Linked DNA regions of Diceros bicornis minor. The protein of the gene in region 2 purifies or fractionates together with the protein of the main gene of each other region. This does not show direct contact. Links are inferred from orthologs where the notes say so. Each region holds a gene or a part of one and is shown on either strand. Other genes may lie near its edges.

The links.
Region 1: the proteins of ESR2 (region 2) and SRSF5 purify together in Homo sapiens (affinity purification with mass spectrometry; 3 studies listed by BioGRID and IntAct, with this or other methods). This does not show direct contact. The link is inferred for Diceros bicornis minor from reciprocal best matches to the Homo sapiens genes ESR2 and SRSF5.
Region 3: the proteins of ESR2 (region 2) and PRMT5 purify together in Homo sapiens (affinity purification with mass spectrometry; 3 studies listed by BioGRID and IntAct, with this or other methods). This does not show direct contact. The link is inferred for Diceros bicornis minor from reciprocal best matches to the Homo sapiens genes ESR2 and PRMT5.
Region 4: the proteins of ESR2 (region 2) and NUP205 purify together in Homo sapiens (affinity purification with mass spectrometry; 3 studies listed by BioGRID and IntAct, with this or other methods). This does not show direct contact. The link is inferred for Diceros bicornis minor from reciprocal best matches to the Homo sapiens genes ESR2 and NUP205.

What each region holds. Positions count from the first base shown.
Region 1 is NC_080763.1:18,188,757-18,196,729, forward strand, and holds the start of SRSF5 (serine/arginine-rich splicing factor 5), read left to right. Parts: upstream 1-4,969; 5' UTR 4,970-5,088; intron 5,089-5,094; exon of another isoform or gene 5,095-5,213; intron 5,214-5,833; 5' UTR 5,834-5,886; intron 5,887-5,986; 5' UTR 5,987-6,005; coding exon 6,006-6,131; intron 6,132-6,459; coding exon 6,460-6,530; intron 6,531-6,665; coding exon 6,666-6,764; intron 6,765-7,066; coding exon 7,067-7,136; intron 7,137-7,973. UniProt on the Homo sapiens protein: Plays a role in constitutive splicing and can modulate the selection of alternative splice sites.
Region 2 is NC_080763.1:13,372,576-13,379,690, reverse strand, and holds the start of ESR2 (estrogen receptor beta), read left to right. Parts: upstream 1-4,107; 5' UTR 4,108-4,424; intron 4,425-7,115.
Region 3 is NC_080744.1:24,804,195-24,811,999, reverse strand, and holds the start of PRMT5 (protein arginine N-methyltransferase 5), read right to left. Parts: upstream 3,011-7,805; 5' UTR 2,988-3,010; coding exon 2,878-2,987; intron 2,227-2,877; coding exon 2,108-2,226; intron 1,800-2,107; coding exon 1,714-1,799; intron 1,547-1,713; coding exon 1,412-1,546; intron 1,016-1,411; coding exon 903-1,015; intron 767-902; coding exon 717-766; intron 500-716; coding exon 336-499; intron 1-335. UniProt on the Homo sapiens protein: Arginine methyltransferase that can both catalyze the formation of omega-N monomethylarginine (MMA) and symmetrical dimethylarginine (sDMA), with a preference for the formation of MMA.
Region 4 is NC_080742.1:84,080,758-84,088,403, forward strand, and holds the start of NUP205 (nuclear pore complex protein Nup205), read left to right. Parts: upstream 1-4,645; 5' UTR 4,646-4,784; coding exon 4,785-4,812; intron 4,813-7,646. UniProt on the Homo sapiens protein: Plays a role in the nuclear pore complex (NPC) assembly and/or maintenance. May anchor NUP62 and other nucleoporins, but not NUP153 and TPR, to the NPC.

The DNA.
Region 1 (7,973 bases), about 4.8 Mb from region 2:
TTTTAACCCACCCAGTTTTTGATACTTTGTGATGACAGCCCAAGGAAACTAACACACCATGGTATGTCATTGTCGCTTGAGAAGAGCTGAAAGCACAGAATGGCTGCTGAGATAATGAACCTAACAATACAGGGCTGATTAGAGGTTGCCAACTATAGTTGGGACCCACCTGATTAGGTTCCAGTTAAATACTCAGATTCCTGAGCCTCCGATTCCTGACTCAGGCTCTCTGCTAAAATGGCACTGGGAATCCGCATTTGAAATAGTGCCCAAATGATTCTTTGAGTTAGAGGATAATAGAGAGTAGACGTAAAAGTGGGACAGAAACAGCAGCTAAAGCTAGAATTTAAGCTGAGTATGAATTCATAGCACAACCTGACATAAATAAGTGCTATGTTGCGGACCTATAAAGAATTTCTAAGTTTTGGCAACAAATTCTGAATTGATATTACCTTCTATCCCTGCCTATGAAAATATTCTCAGGAGCCCTTACGATGAGCTTCTTTGCTGCTTCTCTCTACAGATACTGTTTCTCCCTCAGTTCAGGCCGCATCAGAGATCCTCTGCCTAATCTAAGTTCTTTTGTTGTTTTTTTCGTGAGGAGATCAGCCCTGAGCTAACATCCATGATAATCCTCTTCTTTTTCTGCTGAGGAAGACCGGCCCTGAGCTAACATCTATTGCCAATCCTCCTCCTTTTTTTTCCCCCCTTTTTCTCCCCAAAGCTCCAGTAGATAGTTGTATGTCATGGTTGCACATCCTACTAGTTGCTGTATGTGGGACGCTGCCTCAGCATGGCCGGACAAGTGGTCCGACGGTGCGCACCCGGGATCCGAACCTGGGCCTCCAGTGGCAGAGCGCGCGCACTTAACCGCTAAGCCACGGGGCCGACCCCCTCTTCTAAGCTCTATTTCACTCCAACCTTCCCAGGCCTTGGTGGTCAGGACTCTGCAAATTCAGTAGAAGTGCTTCCCACTTCTGGGATTTCGCTGGCCACTCTAGTGCACAGACAGGTATCACGGGAAGGTCATGCTGCAGCTTTGTGAAAGGGCATTGATCGGAAAATCAGAAAGTGGATGTTCTGGGCAGACCAGATCGTTAGATTCTCTAAGCCTAAATTTCCTCATTTAAAAAATGTTATAATAACACCTACATGGAAGGGCTGGCATGAGGATTGACTGAGATAGTGTGTGTAATGTCCTTAACACAGCTCAGGAAACAGCAGCTGTCAGTATAAAGGGGGAGGGTAGGGACGATGTGCTTAGGCGCCCTGAATTTAAGTTTCTCTTGATGTTAGAATGGTTTGTGTCCCAAACCTGCTTCCCCATGACTGTCCCAGTCCGGGCTCCAGCCATAACCTGAGTGAGATGTGAGTCCTTGGGGGAGGGAAGATGGAGCCAGATGACAGATGGAGTTCATGGAGGACAGAACAGTGAGTTCCTAGATCCAGGTCAACACGCCTCTGATCCTCCCAGCTGAGTATTAGAATCACCTGCAGCCCTTACTAACAAATAGGGCTCCACCCCACACCAGTGAAATCAGAATGTCTGCCAGCAGGGACCCAGCAGCAGAATGTTACAGACACTTCCGGGTGATTTCAGAGCACAGCTGTGTTGAGAAAAACTGATCCAGGCACTCAAATTAAAGAAGTGGGTCCACAGGCACTTTAATTACTGTGCACGACTAAAGGACAACAACAAAACACCAGGATGTTGGAATAGAGAGAAGTCAGAGAGGTATGTAGGGGTGAATCTGAACAAAAACCGAACATTTTTAAAAACCATCAATTTTCAAGAGTGATTCCTTAAGGGTACTCTTTCAAAAAAATCTTTAGAGTTATTAGCTAGAAGCGAGGGAGCAACACTTTTTCTTAGTGTTGGGAGTTTCGGATATGAATTTTTAAGCATCTGGTGATATTTCGGACTGTTTCAGAAAAACAAAATTGCTGGTAAGAATGAATATTGTCCCCAGGCATGTAGTTGTGTCATGTTAAGTGGAAAAATAAATATAAATCTGGATATACACTTTTGATCATAAATACATTAAAACAAAGAAACATGGAAAAATACCCATGATTAAGTTTTATGAATAAAAAACCCTCATAATGCCAAATTCTATAAATGAGGATGATTCATATTTTGAAAATGCAATTGTGCTTACAGGAAAACACTAAAGGGAAATATAAAAAGCCAAATAGTTATCCTCCAGGGTTAGGGATAAGGATGGCCTTTTAAATTCTCATATCTATATTTTTTAAAATGATGATGTATTACTTTTGAATTGGAAAACATATATTAAACTCTCAGGGGTAAAAACATGAGAACGAAATACAGCAAAATATAATCAGAGGTTGATTTGGTGAGATGGATCATGAGTGTTCTCCTCTTTCAATTATTGTTCCTGTTGAACATTTTTGGAATAACGAGCATATATTTCTTATTATAATTGGAATAAAATAAACTATTTAAAAATCAAGATCAAATCCTTGTCTTCTTCTTTGATTTTATTATCTGACAAAGGGAGTTGGGTGGAGCATTCCCAGAGCAGTTTAAAGTTTAGGAATCAGCTCAGGGGTCATGAAAATGGCCAGATGGTAGATAGTTTAGGTATTGTGGTCCACACGGTCCCTATCATAACTATTCAGCCCCGCTTTTGTAGCAGGACAACCGAGGTAGACAATAAGTAAATGATCAGGAGTGGCTGTGTTCCAAAAAAACTTAATGGATACTGAGCTTTGAATTTCATATGATTTTCATACGCCGTGAAATATTACTCTTCTTTTGATTCCCCTCCCGCACCTATTAAAAACGTGAAACCATCCTCAGGCCCTACAAAAACAGGTGGCAGGCTGGATTAAGTCCACAGGCTGTAATTTGCTGACCCCTGAGTTAGATGAAATTAGGAACGTGATGAATGAAACATCCCACAGTTATGCCGAGAGTCCCCAACAGACATGGCCAATCAACTTTGTGTTTATTTTAATCCGTGATTTCTCTGCATTTTTCCTTTACTAAAGATTTGCTATTCAGATGTCTTAGGAAAAGGATGCCAAGCCATTTTGTTGAAACATTAATATAGGAACAGTACAACCCACCCCCCCAAATGCTAATGCAAATCCAGGTCTACAAATATTGAGTCTTTTCTGCTAGGCATTTCTGGGAAACAAAAACATGAATAACACATGTATATTACAAGTGAGTGATGAAGGAATTATACACAGAATATGTAGGATCACACAGGAGGGAGAGTAATTCTGCTCATGGAAGATGACTTTGTGTTTATTGGAGAAATTGGTAAGAATCCGGAAGGGAGATTTACTAGGCAGTTGTCATAGAAAAAACAAACATTGCAGAAGACAAGTGGTTTAAAACACAGACTAAGTCAAGGAACTACTAATGAAAAATTACCTTTGTGGAAATGACAGACTTAACAGTAAATAAATCAAGAGGAAAAGCTTTATAAAAAAATTAGTCCTGAAGAAAACCACACCACCACGGGCTGAAGACAGCAGCTTTTTCCATGGCATACAGCACCCTCATTCTTGTTTCTCACGCCCAGAAAACCTTTTCCAGATTACTTTCTCTTATTGCAGCAAAAATAACATTTAGTGAGTGTAACCACAAGCAGTTGCTTCATAGTCGACGCAAAATGTAGAAACTAACTGGAAGACCTATTTTTTTAATTATGCAAAAAGCTAACAAATGTAATTAAATAAGTACTGGTGCTTGGGACAATATGTGTATTATAAATTGCCAATGTTGATCAGGCTGGCAGCTAAAGATAAGTGTTTTCTTTTAATTTAGCTAATACATATTTTCTTTTAAATCCATCTTTCATTCCCTCACCATAAGGAGCTAAAGTTCACAAGTACACAGCGTGCTGTGTACACGCTGAAGCACTTTTTAATCATTAAAATGTATGAATGGACGAGCTCAGCCATACAAACCATCCAAGTTCTAGTCCAGAGTTCCTACCGGCCCCAGATAAGAGTAAGGTCCGGAAGTCCTGCTCTTTGTAGAACTACTTTATCACCGTGTAACTCCAGTGGCAAGCAGCAACCCTAGATTCCCGGCACCTCTCAAAAATGGAATGCCTTGGGTTCCACCTAAAAACACTCAAGAAAAGTCACCTTTTCACTATCGGTCTCTTTATGCCTAAATTTCTAAGCCTGCCAGCATTACTGGGAAAACGCGGAGGTAAGGAGGGGGAGGACTATGTTTCATACCCACTTTGAAAACACAGAGTTTCTGGAGAATGGTAGACTTCCACGTGTTACAGAAACCCGAACAGGGAGGGTTAACCAAACACCACTTGAACTTAAAAGTAGCTTGAAACTTCCTCCAGCCAGCGCAGTCCTAGAGTAGCGGAAATGCAGAAATCTGCGTCCTGGCCTCAGTTTAAGATGGCCTTCCAGCTGCAGTTCCAATTTCAATATTTCACCACGCAAAAACCTTCCATTTAAAAAATACTGCGGTCCCTTAGTCTTCTTACCATAACTAAACCACACGTCCGTGGTAGGGCTAAAATAGTCACTTGAGCATCAAGGAGCGCCCTCCAAAGCGCAACCTTAAATTGCAAGCAGCAAGGGGTCAGAGACGGCCAGATATTTTTGCAAAGCCTGAGTTTCTTTTACCAGTACACCTCGGAGTATCTCGAAAAAAATTTAGATGGAAAAGGGGTGTCATCTGTCTTAGGGTGATTTTGTGCGAGACAGAACGACGAAGCCAACCTCACGGCCTAGGAGAGGCGAACGTCTTCAACAGCTGTACCCTCAGCGCCGGCCACCTGGTGGCCGCGCCCACGCCCCGCCCCCGGCCCCGCCCCTCGCGGTGAGGGTGGCTCGGCGGTCACCGTCCAGAGTCCCGGGCCCCGCGGGAACTTTGTCCCCGGCTCCGGGGGGGAGGTCCAGGGGCGGTTCCGGAAGTGACGCAGGGGCGCGCCCTCCATTTTGTGGAACGCCCGAGCAGCTAAGTGCGTCAGTTGTGGGGAGACGTAGACGAGTTGGGTCCTGGTCTGCGGGGAGGCAGACGGCTCCGTCGCAGACTACGGACCTCTCTGGGTCTCTGCTGCCAAAGATCCTGTCCGGTAGGTGAGTGGTTCACTTTGAGGGCAAGGCTTCTCGGATCGAGGCTTCTTCATGGCCGCTCGGATGGCGAGTGGCCGGGGCTGCTCTCTTTGCGGAGGACGGCGTCCAATGAGCGCAGTTTACTCGAGGTGGGCGCTGGGGCACGTCTCCCTTGGGGTCTTGTTTGAGGGGAAGCTAAGGTGGAAGGGCGGTCGTGGTTATGGTCATTTTCACACCGAGGGGTTGGATGCCCCTCCCTGCCTCTCTACCTCATCACTGTCCGAACCCCCCCGAGTGGCGGGCCGAGATCTTTGCTCGGGGTGTGGCTAGGGCTTTCCGCGGGTGGGCACACGGACTCCGGAACCGTGGAGTCGGGGGAGGGGGAGGGAGAAGGGAGCTCGGTACGCGCGGCTCTCCCCACCGCTGGCTACGCCGCCGCCATTTTGTGGCTGCCCGGCGTCCGCCCGCTGCCGTCTGCGCAGGCGCGGCCGTGGCGTCGCGAGATTCCGGCTTTCCCCCGCTGTGACGCTCCCGGGAGGCGGCGACGCGCGCGCGGCCCGTCGCCATTGGGCTGGCCTGGCGGAGGGCGGGGCCGGCTCCGCCCGCACTTCTCGGCCTTTCCTAACTGCGGCAGATGGGAGGGGGCCAGAAGAGCCGGGGAGAGTGTGCGGCTGCGCAGTTCCGGAGGCGGCAGTGGGCGTTGCGGTTGCTGCGGTCTGGGCCCAGGGAAGGATCGTGTTGGGAGCCGAGTTTTAATTTTGTCTGCAAGGGACCTGGCCTAATAAGAGGCGCTCTTGGCAATCTTGTTTGTAACATCACCGGGTAAACATTTTATTTTATGCTGTTTATGTCTTTGACCCCCTTGACCAGGGATTCCTCGGATGTTCACTGGTATTATCTCAATTGAATTATTTTCGAACAGGACCTCCTAGCCGGACGTCATGAGTGGCTGTCGGGTGTTCATCGGGAGGCTAAATCCAGCGGCCAGGGAGAAGGACGTGGAACGATTCTTCAAGGGGTATGGACGGATAAGAGACATTGATCTGAAAAGAGGCTTTGGTTTTGTGGTAAGTGTTCAGATTGGCCGGATTATCTATTGTGGAATAGGTTAAGATTTTGATAAGCAGTGTTTTGGATCTTACTGGGTCCAGGTGGAGTAGCTTTAGAAAACGTTGTGAATCCTTAAGGTGGTGAAGTTTCCAAGGGGATGAAAGAACTTCACTGCTGGCTGGAGGGAAACCGCTGCTGGTCTCTTCTCCATCAGGCTTATCTATATGGCACTGTCATTAAGAGATGCTCCCATTGTGTCACATGTCTTTAGCTCTCTTATTATGTTGTAGAATACACTTTTATAGCCATGTTAACGCATTGTGTTTTTTTCATGCTTCTATTTAGGAATTTGAGGATCCCAGGGACGCGGATGATGCTGTGTATGAACTTGATGGAAAAGAACTTTGCAGTGAAAGGTGAGAGTCTTATTTTTAGTTTTATAACTAGTTAGCGCTGTGAAATAGAGCAGACTGGGTCAGCGGGGGTGTTTTCTTAAGTAGATCACTTATATAGCTTAGTGGATAATGAAGATTTTTCATTCCTTCCTGTAGGGTTACTATTGAACATGCTAGGGCTCGATCTCGAGGTGGAAGAGGTAGAGGACGCTACTCTGACCGTTTTAGTAGTCGAAGGCCTCGAAATGATAGACGGTATGTGGTGGATCATGGATGGCTGCTTTGAATGATCATTGCTGCAGAAGATGTATTTAATGTTCAAGAACCATTAGTAATAGGTGATTCTGGCATTTACTGTGTAATCGGTTTGGTTATTCCTGTGGTAGTCCACTGTTGAAAGTCTGTATAATGATTCATATAAAAACAATGTAGGAACTGTTGATGGAAGCCATTTGAATGACTTGTCATATCTGATTGCTTGAACTTGCCCACAGTTGAACACAATAAGTGCACCTCACTGCATTTCTTCCATTGTGAGTACTCATTTTCTTCCTCAGAAATGCTCCACCTGTAAGAACAGAAAATCGCCTTATAGTTGAGAATTTATCTTCAAGAGTCAGCTGGCAGGTTTGTTGAAATACAGTTTTGAGTTATTTTAATGTGGCTTTTTAAAAGTTAATGGGTAGCTAATTTTTATTAATATGTTTTGTTAAAAGTAGTTTTAAATTTAATTAAATTAATGGATTTAATTGTAATTTTAAAATTTTAATTAAACGTAACTGGGGGATATTTCAAATTTTAATATTAGTGATCAAATGTAAATGTTTTGAGGATATTTTTTCTTGTTTCTTAAAATCAATTTTAACCAAATATTAAACCCTTTATTTGCCAGCCTATCTGTGTCGTTGGCCTTATGACGAGGAGTGCCTGTGGGTTATCCTAATCGTTGTCTTGGTCACTCTTGGTTGGGCCTGGTTGACTTTGCCAGTCAGCTCCTACAGTGATCAATTGGCCACCTCTAGATCTGTGTTTGCCGGTCTAGACGTAATCGGTGCACTTACTTGAAGTGCCAGGTTGCAGCGATCCCAGAGCGTTGATAACGTGATCTGATTCCTAAGTTGAGAGCTGTCTTCTGTAACGCTTCCGAATAAGAGGTCCTGGTCGAAAAGAGTTGAAAGATACGAAATTAGGTGGTCGTTGGAATCCTGATCGCAGTAAAGTGGTCCTTGGTAACTGCACGAGAGTAGAACATGTCTGCATCGCCAGTAGTCTGCTTATAGGGAGGGCTGTGCGATTAAAGGCTTCCATCGATTGGGTAGTGTCCTTCAAGTGGGTGGCGAAGAGCCAGTCGGGCATATGTCATGAAGGTTTCTCCGACCGATTATTGGTTTGCTGCTTGACTAGCCTAGGGATATAATAATAAAGGTAAAGTAAACTTTTTTAATGACATATGGGGCACAAAAT
Region 2 (7,115 bases):
AAATTTCATTCAGCAATATCTGGGCTCTACAGGACAAATATGCCCCAGTTTACACAACAAACAAGAAGAGCATCACAGGGTAACAGCGGAGAAAGCCAGGGATTAGCAGGTAGGTAAACAACATTGGGTTGGCACTTTCACTCTGCACATCCACACGGGTGACCTTACAAAACAAACGTCATCTTTCTGAGCCTCAGTTTCCCCGTCTATAAAGCAGACACAGCCACAGGGAAGTTATGAGGATTAAATGAAAGAAAAATGAACCAACCTGCGCAAGCCTGCCTACTGTGGCGCCTGGGCTGGAAAGATGCATAAATATTAGGTTCATTTTTATTTCCACAAAAGACATGGTCCTAAAGAGCTCTACCCAAATTCCACTTTCAAATATCAAATTCTGTTTTATGAACCCTGGTTTATGAGCAGCTGAGATAACCTCTGACCTATCCCATTAGTAATCCCACCTTTCCAATCCAATGCCATCAAATAAAGGTGTTATTACAGGTGCAACAAGCTTTTCTCTCCTCTTTCATTAATTCCTTAAGTTTAGGGTTTCATCCCTCACATCCCCTTAAAACAGACCGATTTATACCCACATGATATGAAGAATGAGCCCAATCCTGTTATACTCGGGAGCAGGTAAGAGCATCCCAGGACCTGAATCCTCCCACTTGGCCTCAGGCTCAGAAGAGAGAGTAACACTCCAAAGCCATCCTATAGCGTGACACTCTTCTAGTCATTGGTTGGAATCCTCCCTCCCCTCCACTTTTCCACATCAGCTTTTGCTTTCTTGCCTTCTACAGGGTTTTATTTGTTTGTTTTGCCTCTAAGTAGTTTCTTTGCTACAGAAAATCCCTCCCCTTTCCCTCTGATCCTTCCAAGTGGAAGCCTCCAGCAGGTATTTGTTGAATGCCTGGGTTATACTAGGTGGATGCTATGGGTACTAATGCTACCGTGTGGGATGCTGGAGATATAAGATGGGCACTGTACAGTCACAGCACAGGCAGTGTGGACAGGTAGGATGAGCGGTGTGCAGGGAGCAGTGTGCATGTTCTGCTGGGCTGTCGCGGTCTTCACTTTACTCAGGCTCTCGGCTTTGGGATGGGTAAGACTTCACCAGACAGAGAAGGGGCAGGACGAGAGGATGAGGAAGATGCACCCTGATGGAGAGGGCTGCCTTCCTCCTACAGCAAAATGTACCTGTCCTACGCTGGCTTCCTTTGTTTTCCCAGGTGACATTTAGCTCATCTTGCAAGCTCATCTCATTAATGTAATCATAAATGCTACTAAATTCATATGACCCATCATATATAACATGATTGAATTTTAACAATCCAATGCTTTAACCCCAAAGGATGGCTGAATGGTGAGGATTTCAGTCCCTGTTGTAGGGTATTTTGGGAGAGGAAGGCCTTTTGATGTCACACCACGTGGGTGCTTCCTAGGCAGGTCATGAGTGAGGCGGAAATGAGACTGGGACCCTGCTGAGCAGAGGCACAACCCTCAACACTAGATTTCAGGGTGCTTTTTGATCTAGCCGTGGTATTAACTGTCTCAAGAATCTCTTCTTAGTTTTTTTTTTTTTTACTTATTTATTTTTTCCCCCAAAGCCCCAGTACATAGTTGCATGTCATAGCTGCACATGCTTCCAGTTGCTGTATGTGGGACGCGGCCTCAGCATGGCCGGAGAAGCGGCGCGTCGGTGCACTCCCGGGATCCGAACCCGGGACGCCAGCAGCGGAGCGCGCGCACTTAACCGCCAAGCCACGGGGCCGGCCCTCTTCTTAGTTTTGATTATGGTTCAGGGAGAGTTGGAATATTCACCCTCCCCACTCACTGCATTAAACCAGGCGAAGGTTCTATCCCTCAGGTGGCATTATTTTTCTCCAACCACAGGGTGAGTCAGAAGGAAACGTACTCACTCCCATTCATTCTCTTTGCTTAGTATTTCCTGCAAGCAGGTTTCCTTGTGGAACAAACAGCTTCTGTGGGTGTGTGAGGGTCTTTAAAAAGAGAACATGCTGTTCCCATGAGTGGAACGCCTTCTGAAGGAAGCAGCACAGCAAACACGGAGCTCTGGTTCCGGGGCTGAGCAGCAGCTTCTCTCACAGGGGGCAGGAGGCTTAGAGATGGGGCTTGTCTGCAGGAGACACAGTGTCCTGACGTTCAAGCCATCTTCATTTCCGACTGATTGCAGTCATGGTATGGAAGAAAACAGAGTCTTGGGCTCTGGCCTGGGTTCAAGTCCTTCTCAGCCACTGACTGGCCATTTTCTCAACCATAAAGTGGGGATAATTAATCATAGAATTTACCTCATAGTCTTGTGTATAAAATGAGACAACATGCAGAAACTGGAGTGTGGCTAAGTGCCAACAAGTGGTAGCTGTTCACAAGGCCATTTTTGCTGCTGGGTTCCTGTCTTACTATGTGTGGCTTCAGGAGGATGATACGAGTTCTGTGAGCCTCAGTTTCCTCATCTAAAAAGTAGGGTCAATCTTACCTGTGCAAGCACTTAGCTGATTCTCTGGAACGGTGTAGATACTTGATAGACGTCAGTTTTCTTCACCTGCACATCATCTTTGTCTGCCTGTTGGCTCATGACAAATTCCTTCATAATAATTTCCATTCCAGAGGTATCTTGTTAACAAGTAAGTACTACTTGTTATGGGGACTAGGTACTTGGAGAGATACCCAGGAGAGGGAACAGGGAAGCTGAGACTGGCAGAGATAAGCATCTTGTCCTCTACAGTCCTTCACAGCGGTGGATCTGGTCAGCTACACACCCTCTTGTCCAAACTCGCTTCTCTGCCTCATGGATCAGGAAACTGCCTTAACAACTTGAGAGAATCCAGGAGTCTTGGCTTTAATGAAAAATTGGGAGGAGGGGGTAGAGGTTTCTGATAACCATTGTTTATAAAGTTGAGCCTCTCCAGCACCTGTGGACCTCCCTCTTGTAAACCCAGAGAACGCTGGAGTCCCTCCAAGCTATTTTTGGCTAAACCCCAACACCAGAGGCTGGCACTATAAAAGTTTCCCTCCAAATGCCCCTTTGGTCTTCCTCTACCAGAGACCTAGAGTCACAACCACATCAAGAACCATGTCCCTTATGCCATGTGTATGGATAGTTTGATGACGGATTAGGCACAAATGTGGCACAGGGGTCTCACAATTGCCTATGGGACATCTGCTACCTTCCTTTCGATTTTTGCCATCAACGGCTGCTCTAAAGCCCATTGCTTCTTAACGACAGCCATATGGTCCTAATCATCACACTGTGGGCTACTGCGGGGGGCGGGCGGGGGCGGTGATGAGGAGAGCTTGGGGACGCTGCAGAGCCGGGGGAACTGGAACTGCCACTAGGGGGCGCTCCCTGCGGCTTGAGCTCGACCGAGCGCCACCAGGCAAGAGGGGCGCCGCCACCCCGGAGCCGCAGATTTTCCCCCGGGTGCTTCCTGGCAGGAGGTGAGTTTGAGGAGGTTCCTAGGACCTTTGCTCTAACGCGAAAAGGCCCTCCCAGTCAGCCCCTGAGAGCTGAGAACCCACACCCTCCACCTCCAACCTTGGCAGCGTGGCTTTGCGTTTCCAGGGGCACGAGGCTGCGCTGGCTGCTGGGGATTGGGCAAATCCAGATCCTCTCTGGTTTCACCACTCGATTCTTAGAGTCAGACTTGTGTATTTAATGAAGCATCCAGCCCCTCTCAGACCCACGTGGGTCAGGGTCTAGGGATGCGATCCTCGAAGTGTGGTCGCGAGCTCGGCAGCTTCAGTTTCAGCATCACTCCGGACCTGGTCAGAAATGCACATTCTCAGGCACCGCCCTAAACCTAAATCGGAGACGGGGGGCGGGGGAGGGAAGAGATGCCAGCTGTGTTTTGCTACCCCTGAGGTGACTGCGAGGGGCTCGAGGGTGGCAGCCCCTGCCCTGGGGCTTCCGCCTTCGCGCAGGTGAGTGTGGATCGCCAGGCAGGAGTCCAGGTCCTCCGAGATCTCCGTGCCGCTGGCTCGGTGGTCACGTGTGCTCTTGGATTTTTTTTTTTCCCCAGCCCGCCTCCTGGGTCTTTAAAAGGAAGAAGAGGCTCTTCGTTAAGTCGTTTGTGATCTTCGCAGTGTCTCCAGCTGCTGTCCCTGGTGACACCCATTCCCTCGCCCCGGCTGCTAGGACGCTGGCAGGGCTGAGGCTGCGAGAACCGCCTCTGGAAACTTGCAGGGTGGAGAGGACGCGCGGGAACCGGGCAGGAAGGGCCATCCTGGGCTGCGACGGGCATCCCAGTGCTGCGGGCGAAGGCTGGCGATCCGGGTCTGGGCTGCGCGAGGTCCGCGCAGTGTCCGCAGCTGGTGGCCGCGGGCCGGGTGCGGGGAACAGAACTACTCCGGGAAAAGCACATGTGCGCGTTTCAGAGATTGCTAGGCCAGTGTTTACCTGCAAGGTAAGTGCCCCTTTGCTCGAGGTGTGATTTAATTCTCTTGATTTTCTGTTTGAAATCTCCGAGATGATTTTGCTAATATCCATGTCTTTTTAAAAGAAAAAACTCCTCTGGATTTTCTCTGTGGATTTCACGACAATGGGTGAAGTGTGACAGTGGGAAAGTTGGACCAGGCGCTTCAGGCTTGAGTTTTCTGGGCCTGGGAAGATGTATCACAGGCAGGTGACCGGTGTTTTAAAACGTAGTAACTGCCATTCCTAAGTCATATCAAAAAGCAGAATTACTTCTTTCCTGGGCAGACTGAGCAAAATTAAGATCTGGTCTGTTTTATTTGCTGAAGAGAAACACGCCTGCTGCTCTCTTGACCCTTCGTGTTACTTTTCATGCCAATTCATATTGGAAGTATACAATTTAGTGAAGGGAATATTATTTTTGTGAAAAACAAAACTTTGGATTTGAGTGGATTTCTTAGGAAAATAAGGTTGACTCAATTTTACTAGCTTTTTAAAAAGCAACTTTGTGCTTTGGTGTGGTACACAACACTTTGGAGGAAAGCATCTGCCTTATTTTGTTAGATTTCTAGTATTTACATGGGCATTCTGTTAGGAATTTTTACTTTTGTTATAAGTTTCTAAACCCACAGTGGCTATTTTCCTCTGTGTGTGGGGAACTATGTTATTGAAAAAGGGAACATGTGAAAGGAAAGGTTTGTGCTGTGAGTATTGTAAAAAGTAAATGCACTGTGACTATGAAAAAAAATGACTCTTTGACTCATTTTTTCTGTAGAAAATCTATATGTTTCTGCATACGTTTGACAGGAAGGAAAATGTAAGGATCTGTTCATCAATAGGTGTTAAAGCATAAATCTTAGGATTCTATTTTATGTTCAAGCATTTTTTTTCAGTTGAATTAGTGAAACATTCTTGCAGCCAGTCTCCTATAACACTTAAGACCTATAAATCTTCGAAATCAATTAAAAACATATTTAGGACAGATTTCACAGTGGTTCTGAGGGACTCAAATGAATCTAATCACCTTTTACATTTCTCAATTTATTTATAATATGGAATAGGTAAAATTTAGTCAATTCAACTCTTAAAAATATAATTAGCATTTAATAGATATTGATATGTCCATTTTTAAGAATACGACAGTGCAATTTTCTGTGTGTATTCAAAATACATCTTGTAATAGTTTTAGTTCATGTTTTGAGTCATTTTATACAATATCTATAAATAATAAAATATATAAAACACTGAAAGCTGAACTTGAATCATTTACTGGTAGGTTTTTTGATAATTACATTTAGAACCCTTGAGAAATGTATACTTGAATATTAGACTTCATAATTCAGTGCCTAGCACATTGTTCTAGACATAATAGCATTTTTGAAAAGTCAGACTTACTACAGTATAATTTCCATACAGTAAAATCTTGCCTCTTCAGGTGAACCCCTCTATGAATTCCGACAGTTGCACACAGTTTAATAATCACTTCCATCATCAGGACAGAACAGTTCTGTCACTCCCCAAGTCCCCTTTGTGCCTTTGGATTCAACCCTCTCCGTCCACCCCAACCCCTGGAAATCACTGAGCTGTTCACTGATTTTATAGTTTTGCTCCTCAGTATTTTTTTACCTAGAAATAATTATCTTCCTTTGCTCTTCTCAAAAGAAAACCTCGGTTCCTCCTTTTTGATGGAATGAGTCAGGTTGTGGTATTTTTGTTTTAATCCTGTATAATTTGGGGTAAATTAAGGCAAAGAGAAAGCTATTTTGCAAATGGGAAACTAGAGACTGGAATTAAGTGTTAAATTCATATTGGGCTAATAGTTTTAATTCTTAGCAATTTTATATTCCATTCTAGTTTAAGCCTTGGGTTATGATAGGCATCATTAGTTATCCCAAACTGAAATATAAGGTCATTTAAAAATATTCATGTAATATTAATAGAATGTATTGTTCCTTTATAATCTTGGCATTTAAAAAATACTTTTACTATACTTGGGATTAAGAAAGTTTCCTGAAAATTACATATTATCAAATAGTGAGGAGCAAAAGAGTGATTGAAAATTACAATTTGGAGACATTTACAATAAAATATAGAATGATTGTGACTGCTTAAATTAAAATATTCTTCTTAACAGGAGCTAAGTTCTGTGCCCAATTTATTTGTAGATGTCAGGGTTTTTTCATTTCTGTGCTCATGCTTTGGAATCTAGATTTTCTTGCAGAACACAGATGCACAATCTTTTGTAAACTAATGTTCTTTACTGTTTAATACATTGTTCAATTTAGTAAACAGGAGACTGTTATTTTTAGGCACTCCTAATAAAGATATGTCAGATGATGTCTTTTTCCTTTGTGCTGTGAAAAACAAGAACCTATATTTTAAATATGCAACTTACCTTTCAGAGACATGGCAGTTACTAGGCTATGCAGAGTGGCAAGTTTATGAGGCACAAGCAAAGTGCGTAGTTGGCGTTCCTAGCCGGAACTGTTACAGCTCTTCGTAATTAAGGGCTTTTAGCAGGGAATATTTGTGTGGGTGTCCTTGAGTGAGGGTCACTTGGAAAGGCAGACTACTGGACTTGTGTATGTTTCCTCAAAGCAGGACTGCAACCGTTTGTTGGTAAATGTTTTGTGTTCAACTGTCAGACCAAGGACTGGACTGGGAGTTGACTATATTCAGTTTA
Region 3 (7,805 bases), on a different chromosome or scaffold from region 2:
TAAATACCAACAAAAACAGCATGAGGCTTCAGTGAACTTATAAAGCCCTCCTGTGCCATAAAAGCATCATCCTGGCTCAAAGGACCTCAAGGATCCTCTCTGTAATTTCTTAAATGAAACCTTCTGCGAAATTTTCATGAGATCTGGTTCCTTTTGAAATGTTTCTGGGGCTCCTACTGCCATTTTCCTTTCTGCTCTCAAGACCCGCAACTTTGCTGAAATTGCTCTTCAGACACCAGAGAGGAGAAGGGTCAGCCCCACAGGAAAAAAGCATCATACATATGTGAATAAGGCAAAAGGATTAGGTGGAGCACCTTTAGAAGATAACCACCCACCTTGAGGAGCCGGAAGATCAGCCTCTGGTGCATCTTAGAAAGAACAGGAAATCCCTTCTTATTGGTCAGGAAAATGCTGGTGGGGAGAATGGCTGCTTTGATGGGCTCCCCAAGCCAACGATCGATGACATGATTAGACGGGAGGTCAGCCCCAATTTCAAGAGCTACACAAGGGAAAAGAAAGACCCATCAACCACTGCTAGGCAAGAAGGCTTTCCTTGCTCTTTTGTGCAAGATCTGTTTACTCCTTAAGAGCAAGGCAGACTGAAGCACAGAGAAAGCAGCAAAACTGCCCAGCAGCCAAGTATACATGAAACTCCTGATTCTTATTCACAAGAGGTCAGAGAAGGGATACCCATCCCAAGACCCTCGTGGACTTACCCACTGCAATCCTCTTACTATAGTCACACAAGGTCCGGAAGTTGTGCCACCTGTCCAGAGTTAAATACAGAAAAATACAGTCAAGTATATATGGCCCACCAATCAAGGAGACCTCCCTACAGGTTCTACTGGGTACTTCCCCTCACCCTACCCTTTGCCCTGGTACAGCAGCAAAAGGAGACATACCACATCCATGTCTTCTCCTCTCCACTATACTCCTCCGTGTGTGTAGTGGGTGCATTCTCAATTATATCATCTCTCAGGTCCTCTGGTGCCACCAAGGGTACCCGCATCCAGAACTGCACATGAACAAGTACCCTATTAAGAACTCTATTTTGAACCCATTGGGTCCAGAATGCTTCCTTCAATTAAAAAGATCTTGATCCAGATCTCGAGTTAGTCCCTTTATATGCTTTTCCCAATTTGTGATTATATCTTGTGTATATCCTTATGTAAATATCTGCCTTGTCCTTTATTCCAACTGTAAGTTTCAGGAAATAATTACATATTCTTATATATATAATTTATAACTCTCTGCTTACCACTTTTAGAGGGGGTGCAAGCAGTACTGACATTTCAATTCTGCTAAATGCACCCCTTACTGAATGGCTAAGTAAGCAAGCCATTACTTACTTAGTACTTAGCACAGCCTGACTACCATAATATGCAACAGGAAAAGAGGCCCTCAGCCATACCATGGAGGAGTGGTGGCCAGTGTGGATGTGGTTGGTCAAAACTCTGGCCAGGTTTGTGTTATCTTCCTGATTTAGGGGCAGCAGGAAAGCTGGAAGACCCAAATATGCCCCAAAATTCAGCTCCTGTAACATGGCCTGGAATGAAGATCAAGAGGAAAAGATTAAGAGCTAGCAACTCGAATAGGTTTAATAGTATATCAGATTTAGTAAATTATGGGGGGTAAAAAAACTGCTCTCCCCACCCAGCTTGGTTACAGACCTGATCTTTAAAAAGATCCAGTGGAGAGGTCAAACAGTCTTACCGCCTCTGAGTTCCTGCGAATCTTCTCCACTTTTGAGTCTGGATGAATCCATGGAGAAAGCTTTCCCACAATTAGCGTATTCCAGTCTGCACTCCCCCACCCAAGAAAGACAAAGACTGAATGAGGTTCAGCACTTTACTCCTTCAATTTCTAGTTCTTAACAGGGAATAGAGAGTAGAGATGAGACACAAAGCCTTTTCCTATCACAGATACAGGACAGCCTGATGCAGAATAGGGAACTAAGGCTCTAAGGTAAGCAAGGAGAGAACAAGTCATCTATATCTCAGGGACTAACCAATATAGCCAAGTCAGGAAAGAAGGAGAATGAGGGCACTGATAAAGCAGAAGTTGTTACTGCCTCTATTAATTAAGGGGCATATGGGATGGTCCCTACCCCTTCCTGACAGCAGTAGGTCTGATCGTGTCTGGGGGCCCGGCCGATTCTTAGCAGGTTCCTGAGTGAACTCCCTCTTGAAACGCGGGTGGAAGACAGGCATGCAGAGGAAATCAAACCTACAACCGCGACAGACCCAGAATCGTCATGTAAAGAGAGCAGCAGTGCCCAGAGATGCAAGCAACTGGATTAGGCTACCTCGATCTTCCACAACCCTCTCAGCTGCCATCAGTCCACGCGACCGGACTGCTGAGTTCAGCCCACCTTGGGGCATATCACTTCCGCTGCACTGTGCCTCAATGTGCCCCCAGAACACAGCCATGGGAAAGAGTAAGGAGAAAAAATGAAAATCCACTCCAAGTGGATTTTCTACTCTGCTGTCACTGGTTTCCCAGGACTGTCACATCCAGATCTGCCCACTACTGCCCATGCTTCCCCCTCAAGGTTCATCTCTTCTCGCTAGCTTCCTAACACTCCCATTCTCAGACGATAATCTCGTTCTCCAGGGCCCTGGAGCTCTGAACGCCCCTTTTGAATTTACCTGACAACTCCCCCAACTTTTGACCTCAGTGACCATCTGCCCCCAATAAGTTTTTTTTTTCTCACGCTCCAGGGCCCGAGGCTTCTCCTGCCAAGGAGTCACGATTTCTCCCGCCCTCATCTTATCCACTCCGACCCCCTCACCCCTGCCTCCCGGGGATGACTTGTCTGCCCCTCTCCTTCCCCGAGTTCGGACTCCGCCTTCCGCTTGCGGAGGTCCAGGCCCTCACCCCTGCTTGGCCACAGCCCCCAACGTGTCAGCTATTTCAGGGACGCAATTGAGGTCCCTCCCGCTGGACACGCGGCTCCCACCGGCAGCTCCGACCGCCATTGCCGCCATCTTTCCCCTCGCGCTGTCCACGCCGGGATTCGTCGCTACTGGCAGCCAATCACAAAACCGAAAAAAAGCCCCCAGAAGGCGGGACGAGTCGGCCTAACAACCAGAGCGTCTTCCACGGCTGCGGAGCAGGAGGCGGAGGGGTGGGGAGTGGCTCCTCCCGCCAATCCGCGGGCTGCCGAGCGACGTGCGGCGTGGCTCCGGCAGACCCACCAATCTCAGGGGCTGGTTCTCAACGAACTTCAATCTCCCATAATGCTTCCTGTATTCGTGGAATCCCATTGAGGGACTACACGTCCCATGAAACCCTGCAGTATAAGCTTGAAGTGTCATCATGGGGCAGAACTCCATTGTCTCAGGGCCAGTGGCGCAATGGATAACGCGTCTGACTACGGATCAGAAGATTCCAGGTTCGACTCCTGGCTGGCTCGGTGGGGCTGGTACTTTATTGCGTCTCGCGCAATACGGCCGTAAGCAGCGTCTTTTAAGTCTCCTTTTCTTTCCTTACACTCTTTAAAGTTTCGTCATTTTCTGGTCTTAACTTGATTGAGTTCTGCAACCATCTTATGTCAGCTTTTTCCCTTACCTAAGTCAAAGGTGGTTGTTGTGTCACTAATTAGGTCCATCTGAACACTGAGAAAACTGGGTTAATGGCTGATGCTCTTAAAATGAGCTTTGTCCTCTTAGTATGTTTTTAAATAGATTGTGGCAACCCAGCCACTAATTCCTCGTGATTCTATATCTCAAACACAAAAGGTAAACAGACACCTAAGCGCGCGCGCACACACACACATCTGACGATAGAGAAAACTTCATTGTGAGGGATTATAGTGGGGAGGAGTCATGGAGCTGCCTGGCGGAGGCCTGAGAGAATCTCTACATTTTTCTTTTTCAATAACTGCCAGAGGACAGAGAAGGAGGAAAGAAATGAAGCAAGGAAAGACATAGGGAGCAGAAGGGGAATACCTGACGGCAGGGAGCCCAGAGGTGCTGAGGGCCTGGCAGCGGAATGGAAAGAACACAGTACAAAAGGGCCTAAGCAGGAGGCGTTGACAGAACTTAGGGACTGAGTGGCAGGGAGCCGTGAGAAACAGAAGTCTGAGGGTGATGCCCAGGGTTCTGGCCTCTCGGTGAAGTGAGACCATAACTGAGAGAAGCGGGTTTAGGGAGAATCAGGGTTTGGGTTTGGAAATGCTGAATTGGACGTCTAGGGGGCGCTGTGTAATAGCGAGTTGGATGAACAGTGATCTGAACCAGACAAGATTTGGAAATCTCCAGAAGAGCCGTGGTGAGTGAAGCCATGAGACTGAATGAGATCACCACGGCCCGTCGGGGACAGAGTCCTGGGAAACACGGGAAGGGTGTGGAGAGGGTAAGTTCTAAGGAGCCCTGGGTGTAATGTAAGTGCCCCAAAAGGATGAAAGTCGGAAAGCCAAAGAACTAAGAAAATGCCTATGAAGCTTAAAGGGTTTGGAGGTGCTTTTGTCCCGTCTTAGTCTTCATTTGATTCCTGCAGGTATTATTATTATTATTGCTAGACTTTATTTTTTAAGAATAGTTTAGATTTACAGAAAATTTGAGCAGATAGTACAGTGAGTTCCCACATGCCATCCCACAGCTTTCTCTGTTGTTAACATCTTCCATTACATGGTACATTTATTACAATTCGGGGACCAATATTGACACATTATTATTAACCAAAGTCTGTAGTTTATTCACATTTCCTTAGTTTTTACCTCCTGTCCTCTTTCTGTTCCAAGATCCCATCCAGGATACCATATTACATATAATTGTCATGGCTCCTTAGGTTACTCTTGGCTGTCACAATTTCTCAGATGTTCCTTGTTTTTGATGACCTTGAGAGTTTTGAGGAATACTGGTCAGGTATACTGTAGGATGCCCCTCTATTGGAATTAGTGTGATGGTTTTCTCATGATTAGACTGGGGTTATGGGTTTTGGGGAGGAAGATCACAGAGGTCAAGTGCCATTTTCATTACCCCTTATCAAGAGTACATACTATCAGCATAATTTATGACTGTCAATGTTCACCTTTATCACCTGGCAGAAGAGGTGTTTATCAGGTTTCCCCACTGTAAAATTACACTCCTTCCATCCTGGACTTTTTGGAAGGAAGTCACTGTGTGCATCCCATACTTAAGGAGTGAGGTGTTATGTGTTATGCTCCCCCTCCTTTAGGGCGGAGTGTTTACAACATTTGTTTGGAATTCTTCCTTGCAGGTCTTTTGAGTAGGTGGTTGTCCCAGGAAGTGGGTGAGTGCTCCAGCGACATTTTAAGAGGTAAAAAAGAGTTGTTGAGGGGGCCTGCTTGTTCTCTGCCCTAGCTGTGCCCAACCAAACTCTACATTCACAGAAGACTTATTAGATGTTGTTTCTTCTTCAGAAGTTAATTATCTGGGTTGTGGACCATCTGTGCTCCTGGCATCTTCCTCCCGATGTCAAGCTGGTGGCTGCTCTGTTGATTGTTAACTAACCCATCCAGGGGTGAGAGAGAGAGAGGAAAATTTATGAAACAGTAATGTCAGTTTTGCCATCAGTTAAAATAATTTTCAAAAGGATTTGTGTAAAAAGAGCCTAGAATTTCTCGCTGACCTTAACGTCAGTTTAGATGGGCTGCATTTTTTTTTTTTAAGATTTTATTTATTTATTTTTTCCCCCCAAAGACCCAGTAGATAGTTGTACGTCATAGCTGCACATTCTTCCAGTTGCTGTATGTGGGACGCAGCCTCAGCATGGCCAGAGAAGCGGTGCGTCGGTGCGCGCCCGGGGTTCCGGGCCCCGGGCTGCCAGCAGCAGAGCGCACGCACCCAACTGCTAAGCCACGGGGCTGGCCCAGATGGGCTGCATTTCATTTGTCTGTGATGTCTTTGTTTTTTCATTCAAAATGGCCCCGGCTGTGTGGCTAGCGTGATGCAGAACAGTTCCCAGTAATTCCACACCACATTGCTCCTCGCCTTTCCTACAACTCTTTCCTGCGCCTTAAAAAACAGCGTGTGCTATGGGTCTGCCTGTATGAGCTGTAGAGAAGCAGAAGGGAAGGAATGAAAAAGACATAGAGAACCTTGTGAAAGACTTGGCCCTAGGCGTAGAGTTGGAGTTGGTGAAGTCTGTCTTACGCTCTGCTTCCCCTTGCTCTCCTCTCCATGCTGAACTCTTGTGCGCAGAAGCATGTGAATCACTGTTATCAACCTACATTGGATGTAGGCCTTTGCTGTGATGAAGATAGGGAGATGGTAGGACAGAAGGACAAATACCCTGGGTGAGAAATAATGTTACTTTCTCCAACAGGAGCCAGTGACCAACAGGCCAGAGCATTGGAAACTTTTCTGGAAGGGCAGGAGTACGCACTCCCAGATCCTCCTCCCATCAGCCCACCAGCATTCCTCACCTTCAGGCCCAGTTCTTCTACCTGATTCTGATTTTATGTCCTTGTTTGAACACCTCAGTCCGGTGTAAAGACTGCTTTCATCTTCTCTTGTGCTCCTCTCCTCCCTCGGCGCTTGCCTCCCTCCCCAGGACCACCTTCACTCACCTCTGTTCCTGACCAGCCAGCCGCACTCTTCAACACCAGAATTATGGCCCATTTGACCCTCCTACTGCTCCAAATTGCTTCTTCACAATCAAGGCTGTCCTCCAGCTACAAAAGTGGCAGAGTTACTGAGGCAAAATAATCTGTGCTGATTTGCATTCTCTTCCTTCTCTTCTCTATTATACAGTGTTTATCTGTCAAAATGAATAGAAAGTAGCAACTGTTCTGGAACATAGAAAAAGATGGAAAACTACCCAATTTGTTTATGAAGGCAGAATAAACCTAATATCAAAACCTGTCGGAAATAGCACCTGCCCCAAAAGAAAACTATAGACCAATTTCACTTATGAATATAAATGTAAAAATCCTAAAATATTTAAGGTTAACACATAAAATTCAGCAGTATATTAACATAATAATTATATACCACAACCAGTTAGGGTTTATCCCAGCAATTAACACAAGGTTAGGTATTAGGAAATTTATTTATGTAATACATCAAAAATAAACCAAATAATTGGGGCCAGCCCGGTGGCGTAGTGGTTAAGTTCACATGCTCCACTTTGGTGGCCCAGGGTTCACAGCCTGGATCCTGGGCGTGGACCTACATACTTACATATAAAGTAGAGGAAGATGGGCACGGATGTTAGCCCAGTGCAATCTTTCTCAGCAAAAAGAGGAGGATTGGCAACAGATCTTAGCTGAGGGCTAATCTTCCTCACCAAAAAAAAAACCAAGAACACTTGATCATTTAATAGTCACCAAAGAGAACACAGTAAGTCAATTCCGTTTTCTGTAAACATTCTTAATAGTCTTAATATTCTTCATATATAAACATGTATATGTATATATATGAAGTTAACAATTTATGTAAAGATAAAATAAAACAAGAATGTCTAGTTTCATCACTGTGTTACTTGATATTATTCTGAAAAATCCAATATGATAAGACTGGAAATTTTTAAAAAGGGGTTATAACTTTTGGAAAGAGAGAGGCAAATTTATCATTGTTTGCAGATGATATGATTGTATACATTGAAAATCCATGAGGGGCCAGCCTGGTGGCGCAAGCGGTTAAATGCATGCCTTCCGCCCCAGCAGCCTGGGGTTCGCCGGTTCAGATCCTGGGCGCGCACCAACTCGCTGGTTGGCAAGCCATGCTGTGGCAGCGTCCCATATAAAGTGGAGGAAGATGGGCACAGATGTTAGCCCAGGGCCAGTCTTCCTCAGCAAAAAAAGAGGAGGATTGGCAGATGTTAGCTCAGGGCTGATC
Region 4 (7,646 bases), on a different chromosome or scaffold from region 2:
CTCTACTCTTCTCTGTGGAGCTTTCAGTCCAGAGGGACAGACAGACAAAATTTTGGAAAATTCTAATACAACGTAGGAGAGGACAGGAGGGCATTTAATCCTCCCTGAGATAAGAGGTAAGAGTGGGGTGGGGATTCCTGAGACAAATAAGCAGAGGAAGAGGCTACAGGTATTCCAGAAAGAGAAGAGAGTGCCAACAAAGATTCAGAGGGAAGGAAGATGTAGCCAGAGGGACTATCCCATGAAGAAGGGGGTGGCACTGGTAAAGGGTCTTGGGGAGCTGGAGGGTCTAAGAATGTGTGTCTAGGTCGCTGCAGTAGTTACTAAAGAAGAGTCTAGATGTGAGATCAAATTTAAGAGGCCTGAAGGAGCCGGATCATGAACAGCCTTGTGTGCCATTCTAAGAAGTGTGGACTTCCCCTCAGGATAGTGACAAGAACCAGAAGGGTTTTAGGGAGAGGACTAAGTGATCCCTCTGGTTACAGTGCAGATGGTGAACTGGAAATGAGCGAGACTGGAGACAGGAAGACCAGTTAGGAGGCTGTTGGAATAATCCAGTCTGTGAAGGTGCATTGTGGTTGTGGGTCTCTAGGGGAAAATCTAGGGCGAATTTATTTCCAACTCCACCAGATACTGCCAGTATTCCAAGACCAGTGGTTCTGCAACTGCAAACCCATAGCTGGCCACTGACTGGGGTCAACACAAGTTGGTGAACCTGTCATGCCTGGGGTCTTCCACTGGCCAGGATGTGGAAAATCACAGAACTTGAAACTCATCTAAATTTCTAAGCCTTGTCCAGAGGAGTTGCTGCAGCTCTCTAAATCCGAAACCTTGGATTTTCTCACTTTTTTCACTGATCTGTTCGTCTATGCCCCACCCCCATACACTTTTAAGACCATGTAAATTCCTATCATCTGTCCATTCAAGTGCCACTGCCTTCATATAATTTTCCCTAATTTTCATTTCCCAAACTCCAAATAAGAATTAACTGTCCTTATTTTAATATCTCAAAGAACTTTGTGTAGACAGTTAAAACTCAATTAATTGGGGCAATGAAGGAAGTTACAATAATGGATCAATTAGACTAGGGTGCAGTCCAACCCCTTACCCCAGGTAAATCACACATTGTTTCATTGCTGAATGCTTCTACTTGCAGTGCACTCAACAGCTTGGTTGAACTCGTCCTTAGTAATCAACTGTACCTCCATTTAGCACTTATTTTGCCTTAGAAATAGTTTATTTTTATTAACAAACACTCATATAGCACTACGTGTCTGGCACATTCTAAGCACTTTACAAATAAGCCTCTTAACAACTCTACAATATAGGTACTAATATTATCATCTCCATTTAGAGATGAGAAAACTGAGCCATTGAGGAGGGTTTCACACCTAATAAGTGATGGAAACAGAATTTGAACCCAGGAAGCCTGGCTCAAGGGTGTGTGCTCTTAACCACAATTGTATGTGGCCTCTCTCTCTTCCAGTAGATCGTGGAAGCACCAAGCTCTGCAAACTGTTTTTTCTGAATTGTAACTGCAAGCCAGAGATGTGGCAGGAGCAGGGAATACAAATATAAAGGCATAGTTGTTGCTCTACAGGACTAAATTATTTGTTTATTGAACATAACAAACCACAAAACTATGGCTACAAACAATAGCCATTTACTTGCTCACAATTCTGCAAACAGGGCTAGACTCACCCATTTGCAGTCAGCTGATGGTTCAGTTAGGACTGAAGGATCCAAGATGGCCTTACTCATGTCTGGCATCTTAGCTGGGAGAGCTGGAACAGCTGGAAGCTGGTTAGGCTTCTCCCGTGGTCTCTCATCCTAAAAGATGCTAGCTCGAGTTTCCTTAAATGGTGTTTCAGGGCAGCAAAAGAGCAAGAGAGGAAGCAGCAAGGGCAAATTCTAGGCTTGGAACTCACCCAATGTCACTTCTGCTGCATTTTTTTTGGCCCAAGCAAGTCATAAGGCCCACTCAGATTCAAGATGGCAGATGGTTATACAATGGCCTGAATTCAGGGATGTGTGATTCATTAGGGGCTTTTTAATAACAATCTACCACAAGAAGCTAGTAGTTTTAGTGGGGGATGATTGTCATAGAACATAGGGCTATAATAGAGATGGGTTACAGTGCGATAGGGATGTAGGGAAAGAAACCTCTGAATTGGTTGAGGGAATCAAGGATAGCATCAGGCAAGCAGCATTAACACAGACCCTCAGACTTGGAAGACAGGTTGTGTTTGGGAGGTTAACGTGGTGGGTGGTCCACAGAGGGATGGGGAAGGGAAGGAAGGGCATTCTAGGCAGGTAGAACAGCAGGTGCAAAGGCATCAATATGTGGTACAAGAAAGCGTCGTGTACTTGGGGAATAATAAATAGTTCAGAATGGTTAGAGTAAAGGGCACTTGAGGAAGACCGAGGGTGAGGAGGTTGAAGAAGGCTGAACCAGATCAGGAAGTGGCACGTGTGCCTTGCTAAAAAGTTTTCAAATATTGCCTTTGGGGAGTAGGTCATTGAGAAATTTTGATCAAGGCAAGCACATGATCTGATTTGTGTATTTGAAAATCACTTTGGGAGTCCATGAAAGGGGGATGAGATGGAAATCAGGAAGACTGGTGAGAAGGTGATTGCAAAATGCCAAGTATAAAAAGATAAGACCTGAAGAGAACAATGGCATAGGGAGCAGAGAAGAGAAAAAGGGTTCCAGAAATATTTATGAGTTAGAATGAATAGGATTTGGCAATCGAAGGAAGAATATAGAATGACTCCCAGGTTTCTAACTTTGGCAACCCAGTGGATATAGGTGGCAGAGTTTCAAGACGAAAATGCTCTTTTAAGTTTTGTACTAATTGACTGATTTTGAGCTGCCTGTGTGACAATCAACAGAGATGTGGGGTAGACAAGTTGGATATACAAATCTGAAGCCCAGGAGAGAGGACCAGACTGGAGATACAAATATAGAATTCATCAGCAAACAGGTGGTAGTAAGAAGCCATAGATTTCCCAGAAGCAAATAGAATAAAAAGAACAGAGGCTGGGGATGACTGAAAGAGCTACATTTAGTGATGAGAAGAGGAAGAAAAGTCCATGTAGGAAACTTAAAAAGAAGAATTAGAAAGATTGGAGGAAAACCAGGAGGCGTGGTGCCCCAGAAGTCAAGCGAGAAAAGAGTTTAAAGAAATTCAGGAAAGTGCTTATGGGATTTGACAGTTGATCATTGGTGACCATACTGAGAGCAGTTTTGGAGGAGTTATGATGCCAATACTCTGACTGCTTTGAATTGAGGAAACCTGTGAGAGATTGCTTGTAAGTGTGATGATGGGTGAGGGGGAGTTGCAGGAAGTTAAAGAGTTCCTTCATAGAAAGCGAAGTGATCTACCAAGAGGGAAGTGTGTGGGCTTGAAGAGTGTTGAGGGGCAGGGAGGAGGCTTGTAATAGTTGTGCTAAGAAAGAAAATCTTCTTTGAATGCCACTTCCTGCCAAGTTTCTGCTCTATATTCTTCTCACTTTCATGCTAAACTTTGGGGAAACTCATTTTTCCCCTTCACTCCTTAAAAGTGCTTTCATCGTAGTCTGGCATTTGTCTCTATATAACAATGACTTGCAAAAAAAATCAGTGACTTTTGTTTCACCTAATGTACATTGTGTCACTCAATATTATTTGTTCAAAAGAAGGAATATGCTTGATATTCTTAACAACATGCTCTGGGATTTTAGCTAAATTATTTAATTCTGATGTCCAATAGTGAAATGAGAATATAAGCTAGCTCTGTTTCCTCCCAACCTCAATGGAATGTTGGAGGAGTTGATGAAGTGAGATTGTAAGGCACATTGACCATCTCTGAGATAAGTAGCTATAATTATATATTACATATATATAATTATAATATAGCTATAGTAGCTATAATCTTCCTAATAGGATTGTCTCAGGGATTAAATAAGATAACGTAAAATAATGTAAAATTCTTAGTAAATATCTGACATATAATAGTAAATGGTAATGACTATTTGTATTTTAGTTTGAAATTTAGCAAACCAATATTTAGCGAGTGAAAAAAGAAGGTCCAGCTGTTTGGGGGGCACTTAGGTAGAAAAATATTTGGTGTTTATGAAATGATATATCTGGGAATTTCTTCAAAATAATCTCCTGTGTTGGAAGTGGGGGACAGGAATTATTCTAATTTTGCATTCATGTGAAAATTTCATAATAAAAAGTTATGATTTGTTTCACTCTATGCAACTCTATGTTAACGCAAAACACTTGGTATATTTAAATGTAATGAAAACTTTGTAACCGATCAAATGGCTTTTTGAGGTGTAAGCCCCCCTCACCCTACTCCACTCCCCAAAGTAAAAGAGTAATGCAAGGAAGATTTAATTTCAAATGGAGATAATGATTTGATCTTACGGCTTTTATAATATCATAAATGGGCGTCATTTCAATAACTAGTCTCAGAATATCTTTTCCACCTAACCAACTTCATTCATCATTAGAAAGAAACTACAAGTTCCAGGATGCACTGCACAATTAACGTCAAATCGAGGACCTCGCCTCTCCGAACTGGTTGTCCTCGCCTTATTTGAATGGGAATAATCCCGGAGAAAACTGACGTGTGTGACCTAGAGCAGACTTTCGAGTCTTTGTACGGCGAGGTCGGCCGAGCGTGCCGTTCGGAGGGGACAGCATGGTACCTTTCTGTTCAGGCGTCGCTCCGGGCAGCCTCACCCTTTTCTGGGGCCTCCGTGCGGCAGGAGGACTCCGTTAGTGCGCCTCCAAGATGGCGACGCTGTTGGCGGTAAATTCGGGTAAGTGCGGCCGGGGCAGAAGGGAAACTCTGGGGCCGAGCGATGATCAGTTCTTCAGTGAGAGACCAGGCTGTCAGGTTGCTCGGAGTCCAGGCCCCCACTTGTGCTTGGTCCCGCTTTTCCCGAGCTCTGGGCCTCGAGTCCCGCCCCTCCCCAGTTTGAATGGCGCGCGTCGGCGCTGCGGCTCTAGTCCTCGAGTTGGCTTTGAGGGTCCAAGCAAGGAGGCTTGGTCCATTGCAACCGGGCAGTCTCTCGCAGGCCAGCGCTGAGCCTGGTCCCTTCCACTCCTCGTGATGTGTTTGTGGCCTGGATTTCGCCTGAATATGCAAGACTCCGGCAGTAAGGCCGGAGGACCCCATGTATTTTCAGCCACGAGCGCAGGCTGAAAACTCGCACCTCAAAGCAAGCACCGGGGCCCCTCATGGAGATTGGGGGGTCCTGCAGGAAGCGAGGATTATGAAGCCCGCAATCCGGAAGGGGCCCGGGAAGGAGGTGCCATGGGTACAGCAAATGACTCCGACCTCTGCGGGTGTGGCCCGTCTCTGGATGCTCCTGGACCTTTGGAACAGTAGATCTTCGCGGCGGAGTAGAATCTAGAATGTAGTAAAGGAACTTGGAAGATTTGGGATGGGTCCTCTTTTGGTAATTCTCAATTTGGGTTGGCACCGCCCCCCAGGGGCGTTTTAAGAGTGGGTGCATTTTGATTGTCACAATTCCTAGGATCCGCTGCTGGCGCCTCGTGGGCGGGGCAAGGATGCCAAAAGCCCTTCCTGGGGCGGAGCGGTCCTGAAAACGAATAATTTCCTGCTCAGAATGTCAGTGCCTGCATTGAAACGCACATAGCTTCATGGGCCACTTAAGAGTATGTCTGTATGGTAAATGCTTGTAGAGAATTTCATTCAAGAGGAGTCTTTCCTGGACACCTTTTCTTTCTGTCTCTAATTGTGCAGTCTTTTTTTTTCCCCCTTGGTTCTGGTTTGTTATACTTTGCACAGGACTGATATTCTTGAAAAGTTGTCTAAATCTGAATTTTGCAAATCAAACCATTTTAGAAATACTATGATAAATTATTTTATAATGATGGATTATGTTTATTGAACACCTGCTGTGTCCCAGACGCTGGACTAAGTGTTGTACATATACCTGTGTGATAGCTGCTGTTAAATACCTCATTTTACAGATTTGGAAATAGAAGCTTAGAGTGTTTAAGTAACTTCCCCAAGGTTATACAGCTAGATTCTAAGCCAGTGTTAGGTGCTTAAACTACTACATGCTACTACTTAAGCACAACCTAATTCATTTTATTACATCAAAAATTCATATATCTGAATGTTAGTAATGAAGTTACTTCCTTCATATTGCTGTCTTGCCTTTCCACCCAGATATAAACTTAAAAGCAAGGCTTGCATGTTATATGTGTGGTTATGTATGTTTCTTTAGTAATACTCCTACCAGTTACCATAATTAAACATAAATGGTTGAAGGAAAAAGGAAAAGGAGTTGCCAGCAGCTGCAAAGAGTATACATTGTATAATAAGGCCTTGTGGCAGGAGTGTTTAATTGGCATCAGAAAAGAAACGTTTTTAAAAGCTCAGTCAGGAGAATATTTTTTTTAAAAAGTTAAACATTTTAGAGAAGCAGCCCAAATGTCCATAGAAGGATGAATGGATAAACAAAATGTAGTATATACATACAATGGAGTCTTATTTAGCCTTAAAAAGGAAATTCTGACACATGCCACAAGATGGATGAACCTTGAGGACATTCTGCTAAATGAAGTAAGCTAGTCACAAAAAGACAAATACTGTGTGGGGCTGGCCCAGTGGCATAGTGGTTAGGTTTGTGCGCTCCGCTTTGGTGGCCCTGGGGTTCACGGGTTCGGATCCCAGGCGGGGACCTATGCACCGCTCATCAAGCCATGCTGTGGTGGCGTCCCACATACAAAATAGAAGAAGATGGGCACAAATGTTAGCTCAGGGCCAATCTTCCTCAGCAAAAAGAGGAAGATTGACAATGGATGTTAGCTCATGGCCAATCTTCCTCACCAAAAAAAAAAGACAAATACTGTGTGATTCCACTTATGTGAGGTGTAGAAAGTCTTCAAACTCAGAAACAAAGAATGTTGGTTCCAGGGGCTGCGGGGAGGGGGAGTTGTTGTTTAAGGGGTACAAAGATTCATTTTTGCAAGATGAAAAAGTTCTGGAGATCTATAGTACAACAATGTGAATGCACTTAACACTACTGAACTACACACTTAAAGTTGTTTAAGATGGCAAATTCTGTTATGTGTTTTTTTCCACAATTCAAAAAAAAATTAATCATCTTAGAGTTGTAGAAGGGGGCAAAAATAGAGATTGTAGAGTTCTAAGACCTATGCTTGAGTTTCAGCTGCATGATTTACTAGTGATGTGACTGTCCCAGCTGAGTAGCCATACAGGCTTGTTGTTAGTAAGCCACCATTAACTCTGCTTGACACCCCTTCTGTGGCAGTGTGGTCACCCTTGTCCCGTTCACATCAGTGACTATTTCAAACCTTTTCCACACTCCTCAAATCTTTGTCCTCCAACTGACCCCTCATTTTCCTCGTCACAGAGGAGATAGATGCAAATGGGCATGAGCTCTTTCTTTTTTCACACTCAAACCTACAAACCTAGATCTGTCTGCACCCTTTTGAATCAGTTTCCTTGTGGCTCTCTATCAAAGGTAAATCCCACCCTTTATGCCCTTCTGCCTATTATCCTTTCTCTCTCTTGTATATTCACCTCTCTTTCTTGCTCCTTTTCTTTCCACTAACCTCCCGTCTTTATCTTGATCTCCTGCCTCACTCTGTCTTC